Ovis aries: one gene and its partner. The protein of the gene in region 2 interacts with the protein of the main gene of each other region in a biochemical or structural test. Links are inferred from orthologs where the notes say so. Each region holds a gene or a part of one and is shown on either strand. Other genes may lie near its edges.

Evidence for each region. The genes of interacting proteins can lie anywhere in the genome.
Region 1: the proteins of PRKCZ (region 2) and PARD6B form a complex in vitro, tested with the Homo sapiens proteins (2 studies listed by BioGRID). The link is inferred for Ovis aries from reciprocal best matches to the Homo sapiens genes PRKCZ and PARD6B.

What each region holds. Positions count from the first base shown.
Region 1 is NC_056066.1:78,710,523-78,714,171, reverse strand, and holds part of PARD6B (partitioning defective 6 homolog beta), read right to left. Parts: intron 1,688-3,649; coding exon 1,465-1,687; intron 1-1,464. UniProt on the Homo sapiens protein: Adapter protein involved in asymmetrical cell division and cell polarization processes. Probably involved in formation of epithelial tight junctions.
Region 2 is NC_056065.1:49,927,298-49,930,946, reverse strand, and holds part of PRKCZ (protein kinase C zeta type), read left to right. Parts: intron 1-1,119; coding exon 1,120-1,172; intron 1,173-2,179; coding exon 2,180-2,368; intron 2,369-3,649. UniProt on the Homo sapiens protein: Calcium- and diacylglycerol-independent serine/threonine-protein kinase that functions in phosphatidylinositol 3-kinase (PI3K) pathway and mitogen-activated protein (MAP) kinase cascade, and is involved in NF-kappa-B activation, mitogenic signaling, cell proliferation, cell polarity, inflammatory response and maintenance of long-term potentiation (LTP).

The DNA of each region.
Region 1 (3,649 bases), on a different chromosome or scaffold from region 2:
AAGATACACAATCAGTGGAATTTCAGAGCCCTGGGAGTGGTCCAAAGCTTATCAACTGGTTTGAAATAAAGTTTCGCCTTCAAGGGTAATCTCAGCCCACTCTCTGACTGCTCGCTGGGTTGGTTTACAAGCACAGTCAGGCTTTAATCATCCCACCAGTGCTGGGCTGGAGTCTGTCATGCTGCCTTTCCAAACCTCCTCATTTTCCAAAGACAAAGGAAGCAGAAGCATGCATGGCACCCATCTACAGGCAGACACAGAGACACACACGGAAGAGGCCACAAAGGCAAAACAAATCTTTTTAGGGCTTTTAAAAGTCAAAATACGTTGCAGTGCTTGCCATATACAGTGGTTATTTAAAACTTTCTTCTGCAAGACCAATTATCAATGTTTACATTCCTCCAAAATGATGACTTACTAATTTTCAGATAATTAACTAATTGTATTTTCTGTGAGAAACACCTTAGAGGAAAGCCAACAGTTAGAGGAGGCCTAGTACACGCCAAGGCTCTGCACTGAGCTCAGTTAAACCCCCAGCAATGCCATGAGATGGCACGTTCCTCCTGTAGATAAAGACACTGAAACCCGGAAGCACTGAGCTCAGTTAAACCCCCAGCAATGCCATGAGATGGCATGCTCCTCCTGTAGATAAAGACACTGCAACCTGGAAAAGTAAATAGCTTTCCGTCAAGTACCTAGTAAGTAGTAAACACAGTATTTCAAAGTTGTGACTCTTTGTGGCCCCATGAATTGCAGCCCTCCAGGCTCCTCTGTGCATGGGATTTTCCAGGCAAGAATACTGGAGTGGGTTGCCATTTCCTCCTCCAGGGGATCTTCCTGACCCAGGGATCCAACTCATGTCTGTTGCATCGGCAGGCGGGTTCTTTACCACCAGAGTCACCTTATGTACGTATACGTAAGTCGCTCAGTCGTGTCCGACTCTCTGCGACCCCATGGACTGCAGCCTGCCAGGCTCCTCTGTCCATCGGATTTTCCAGGCAAGAATACTGGAGTGGGCTGCCATTTCCTTCTGCAGAGGATCTTCCCAACCCAGGGATCGAACCCAGGTCTCCCGAGTTGTAGGCAGATGCTTTTACCTTCTGAGCCACCAGGGAAGTCGAGAATGTTTCTCTGACTCCAAAGCCACACTCTTCCTACCACATCTTTCTGAATGGACAAAATCACATTCAACGCGAAGATTCAATATATTCCTAATTTCCATTAAGAAAAAGAATCTAAAGGTTTACAAAGTAATCACAACTTTCTAAAGTGCACTTAATTAAGTGTAAAGATGTTAATAAACCAATAATATCACAGATGTCTTAACTCACTTGTTAATTTGCTAATAAGATTCACATAAAATGTCTAATTCCTTAAATTTGTGGCAAACTCTGTATATCCTATCAATGAGGAAAATTAACAACTTCTAATTCTCAAACAACTTCTCTGGATGTTGGTACTTACCCTTTTTCTGTATAAAGATCCTAAGCAGTGGGTTGGCCGTTGAAACAGCTTTGTGATAATTGTCGTCATTATTTATAGGTAGTAAATCGCCATGGATGTCTGCATAGCCTACTAAAACGTCAACATTGGGTATTTTATGAACATGTTGCAGTAATCCATAAAACTCCTCAAACTTTCCAGGTTTTGATCTTTCCAGTGAAAACCGGCGAAATTCAGCTCCAAACTACAAACAAACATATTAATTTTAAAACAGGATCCAATCTTACAAGGCATGACATAGAAAAATTCACAGATACGAGTTTCCTTTAATAAAGAAGACAGTTTCAACCACACAGTCGAAACCTCACTGAAAGTGAAAGTTGCTCAGTCATGTCTGACTCTTTTGCGACCCCATGGACTATACAGTCCATGGAACTCTCCAGGCCAGAATACGGGAGTGGGTAGCCTTTCCCTTCTCCAGGGGATCTTCCCAACCCAAGGATCGAACCAGGTCTCCAGCATTGCAGGCGGATTTGTTACCAGTTGAGCCACCAGGGAAGCCCCTAGAAACCTCATTATCTGGAGATAAAACGGCCTAGGGGAGACACAGAAATGTGCCTGCTCACTGCTGTATCTCTGAAGGGCATCCCCTTCAAGAGATGCAGGTTCGACTTAATCCCCGGGGTACCCAGGCCCCACTGGGGACTGTCCTGCAGAGTGACTCAGCTCAAACAAACCCTGTGTGGAGTCTGGATCCTGACAACAGTCTTCCCTCCTCACTCAGGCCACGGGGTAACAGAGATGAGCCTAAGTCTTTATTTTGACTGTCAGCAAAAAGCATCCAGGTTTCCTCCCCAATCAAAGGAGTAACAGCTTCATAGGAAGTGGCAGGAATTAACTGCAGCACAAGCAAGCAGGACTTTGAACTTCTTGGCAGCAAGGCGCCATATGAATGGAGGCATATTATAGGAGAAATGAGTCTAAAGACAGGAAGTGTCTTCCGTATGTTAATCTTTAAAAAAAGGGCACTTTTATTAATACATTAAATATATGTCGTACAACCGTCCAATTAATGCAAAAGTGTTTATGTGCTTGGCACAGTGCTAGGCCCTAGAGAATGAAAGGCTCGGGCCTGCACCCGAGCTCAGCAATTAGTGGGTAAAGAGAATAATTATATGAGCGGTATTAAGGAACCACACAAACAGGGAGGACGGCACTTCCATCATACCCAGTATTTATCCTCACAATTCTCATACTCACATCTGCTTCCCTACTCTAGAACCCAAATGCCGCATGATTTCGGTGGTTCTTATCTGACACGAAGGACTGGCTTCATCCAGTCCATAACAAACAGGATCTGTGACCTACTATGGAACCAGCACAGCATTTCCTCAAATGTGGAAACCTAAGAAAGATTCATCAGCCTTCCTCAAAAAGTGCCCCAGTCACACACATTTGGGAAATGCTATATAACTATAATCATGCTCTTGGGAATCACTGGGGAGACCAGTTATTAAAGGCGAGGTAAAGCCCTGGCGTTGATTAAAACAGAAAAAATTTTCAAAACAAACTGTGTGCCAAATGCATTTGACCACTGAATTCCTTTTTCCTCTAAGTATCTATTATTGGACAGTAACACTAGCTGTACTACCAACAAGGCCTTAAACATCATGCAGGCAAAGTCCCTACTGGAATTATTTGGTTACAAATGTGTCCGTTCACGTCCCCAAGGGTCCCGTGGGCTCCCTGGATTCACCGCTTTTGTTATGGCAAGTGTATCTGCCTCGCTTATACCCACACTATTTGCTAGTTTTCAATTAAAATGAAAACTCACTGAAACCACCTCTTACTTCTAATAAATTAAAAGTTTCCGAAACACATTCCTCAAACGTAAACACTAACATTTGTCAAGAAAATAAGGTGACTCACACCTAAAGCACTCAAAAAGTTTAGTCACACCTTCACGTTTCAAAGTAAATAAAAACTGAGGAACACCCTTCATATCAGAGTCAGTCTTATGATGTTATCAAAAGTCATAGTTTCTCCTCCATTTTCTTTATTCTGGTATCGCAACATCCCAGTGCATTCTGATTCATCCCCAGGTTTTATTACTTCCCCTGGTGAACGGGAGTAACAGCTAATAATTGAATATTTTAGGGCTGCAATGTTTTTGCTAAAGCTTGTGGATAAAAATTCTTTGCTCGAC
Region 2 (3,649 bases):
ATCCACACGTATCTACCCACCCACCATCCACACACGTCCACTCACTCTCCACCCACCCACCATTCACACACATCCACCCACTATCCACGCACACCCACCCACCTGTCCACCCATGTCCACCCACCACCCACCCACCCACCATCCACACACATCCACTCACTCTCCACCCACCCCACCATCCACACACATCCACCCACCTGACCACCCACATCCACCCCACCACCCACCCACCTACCATCCACACACGTCCACCCGCCACCCACCCCCACCATCCACACATCCACCCACCCGCCATCCACCCTCACCAACCATCCACCATCCACACACGTCCACCCGCCACTCACCCCCACCATCCACACACATCCACCCACCCTCCACTCACCCCCACCATCCACACACATCCACCCAACCACCATCCACCCCCACCCACCACCCACCCACCATCCACACACATCCACCATCCACACACATCCACCCACCCTCCACTCACCCCCACCATCCACACACATCCACCCAACCACCATCCACCCCCACCCACCACCCACCCACCATCCACACACACCCACCATCCACACACACCCACCCACCCACCATCCACACACATGCACCCACCCACCATCCACACACGCTCCACCCACCACCCACCCCTACCATCCACACACGTCCACCATTCACCCACCCACCCACCATCTATACATATCTACCCACTCTACACCCACCCCCACCATCCACCCACGATCCATCCACCTGCCCACTGTCTACCCACCCATCTGCACACCTTGAGAATAGAGACTGGAAAGCTCAACATCAAACCCTTCTGCCCACTCACTTCTAGAAGAACCATGAGGGAAAGTTGTCACAAATGCAGATTCCCAGGCCTCGGCCCCAGAAGCTGAGAGTCAGCTGGTGGGGGTGGGCTCTGGAAACTGTTCTCCCACCTCTCTAGTTGAGGCAGAAGCAGCTGCTCCAGGCCTTCCCCCTGAGCAGCAGGTGGCCTGGCCTGGCCTGGCACTGCATGTCCACAGAGGGGCAGAGGCCGTGGGGGTCCCTGGGTCTTGGGCCACATCCCTGACAATGCCTGACACGCCCTCCACCCCGCTTTTTCTTCCTCCTCCCCAGTTGCTTATATTTCTTCAACCCGGAAACATGACAACATTAAAGATGATTCTGAGGTGAGTAGGAAATGGCTCGTCAGTGTCTGTGTCTGTTATAGAGGTCCATCAGCTCGTTTCTGGGGCCACTGTGGGAACTCAAAGGTGAACTAGGAGTGTCTGGGGAGACGCGGCCTGGTGGGCACCGGGGGTTGCATACATCAAGGCATCGGGGTCACAGGTCTGAGAAGTCTTAAGAGACATTAAGCACAGAGGCAATTGCCAAACAGGAGGTGGGACTGGTCCTCTAATCCCAGGACTGGTTCCCCTGGCACCCTCAGGTGACCTAGAGGCTTCCTGCGGAGGCGCTTCATTAACATGACAAAGGAGCATTTTGCTGGCTCTCTGCACCTGGAACCCCCTGGGCTTAGGAGCTCCATGCCAGGAATGGGGCCCTGGAACAAGTAGGGACTTTGTATTACCAACCACAACATCAGTTTGACTCTGGATGATAAATGAGGCTCTGAGAAGTTTGGTCCCGTGCGAGGGCGTTCCAGCTGGAGCTTCCATCCACGGAACCTCCTCGCAGCACCTGGGGAGGCCACACCTTTTCCAAGGTCCTTGTCCCTTCTGGACTTGAGCTCTTTCTCCCTGGTCATCTGTGTCTGGAATGAGTCAGGAGCGCTCAGTTACCCTTCCTCCAGCACAGAATCCTCTTCAGAGAGAGTCCTCAGGAGGGGCGCATGTGGCCTCTCCCTGCCGTCAACGGTCGCTTCTAGTGACGCTTGCTGTGGCGTGTCTCCCGAGGCATTAGCAGGTTATGCTTTGTGCCACCCGGGGAGGGCCAGGTGAGCTTCTGATCCCAGCACCAACGGCCCTGGGGTGTGTGAGCCCATGGTCACCTCCTTGGCAGTCAGGGCAGGCTGGCCCTGAGCATCCCTCCTGGCTCACAGAGGGGCCACCTGACTGGTGATGGCTCCTGGATCTCTGCTCCTTCCATCAGGAGCTCTAGGGGTCTGCTCCTAGGTGGGGAGGCCATGGGTGATGAGTCCCCTCCCGCTTCCTCCCATCTTGTCCACCCCTATCAGGACCTCAAGCCAGTCATCGACGGGATGGACGGGATCAAGATATCTCAGGGGCTCGGGCTGCAGGACTTCGACCTGATCAGGGTCATCGGGCGCGGGAGCTACGCCAAGGTCCTGCTGGTACGGCTGAAGAAGAACGACCAGGTCTATGCCATGAAGGTGGTAAAGAAGGAGCTGGTCCATGACGACGAGGTGAGACTGCCTGTGTTCCCCGTTGTTCAGTTGCCAGGTCGTGTCCAACTCTGTGACACATGGCCCACAGCACTCCAGGCCTCCCTGTCTGCTCCTCTGCGTGCAAGTAAGTGCACAGAACAAAATGGATGCTTTTCCCGCTTTCCAGTGTGCAGCTTAGTGACTTTTAGCGCATTCACGGTATTGGGTAACCATCACTACCGCCCAGCCCACGACACTTCCTCCCCGTGAGCAGTCTCTCCCCAGTCTCTTCCAGCCCCACAGCCGCCCGGCCGCTTCTGTCTCTGTGCATTTGCCTGTTCTGGACTCTGCATGTAAATGGAACCATGCGCTGTGGGACCTTCTGTGTCTGGCTTCTCTGACGGAGCATCTCATTCTCACGGTCCATCCAAGTATATCGAGGCGCGGCACCTCCTCCATCTTTTCTAGGCCTCAGTTGTGTTCTGTTTTACGGACAGGCCCCGTTTGGCATGTGTGTCCATCCCTGATAAGCATGTGGCTTGTCTCCATTTCCAGGTGCGGTGAACGTCTGTGCAGCTGTCTGAGTCCCTGTTTTTACTCCTCTGGGTGTTCACCCGGGAGGGGACTGCCAGGTCGTAGGGTCTTTTTGTGTTTCACTCTGAGGAACAACTGAACCGTCTTCCCCGGTGTCGTTTTACGTTCCCACCAGCAATGCACGAGGGTCCCACTTCTGCCCATTCTTGCCAATACTGGCTGTGTTCTCTATTTTGATTATCGCTGTCCTAGCAGGTGTTTAGTGGCTTTGACAGGCTTTCAGCACCTTTTCATGGGCTTCTTGGCTCTGTGTACTTTTGATCTATTCTTTGATCCCTGAACGGGGGTTACGTCCCTTAGAAGCAGAGAGTGACTTCAGAGGGAGCAATGATGATGTCACTGTGAGATGACTTGATACACGTGGAGTGGGGGCCACGGCAGGGCTGCCCAGGCTTGCAGCTCAGAGGGCAGAGCCAGGGCTCCACCAAGTCCCCACCTGCCCTCCCAACAAGTGCGTTTGTGCAGTGCACACACCGCCCAGCTGGCTGCCAGCCCCTGGTGCTGAGCTCACAACTGAGCTGGTGCAACCCTGCCTGTCAGCTGAGGAAGCGGAGCCCTGGGGATGTATGGGGCTCAGCCAGCGTCTTCACTGCTGGTCACAGCCCTGCAAGGTGATTCCAAGTCCCCGCCCCGTGCATGGCTGGCTGGAGGGTTGATGGTGTCTTTGGGGGTGGGGCAGTTTCTAGAATGCTGAGAGGAGAGGTCTCCAGGGAGGGTTACTGCTGT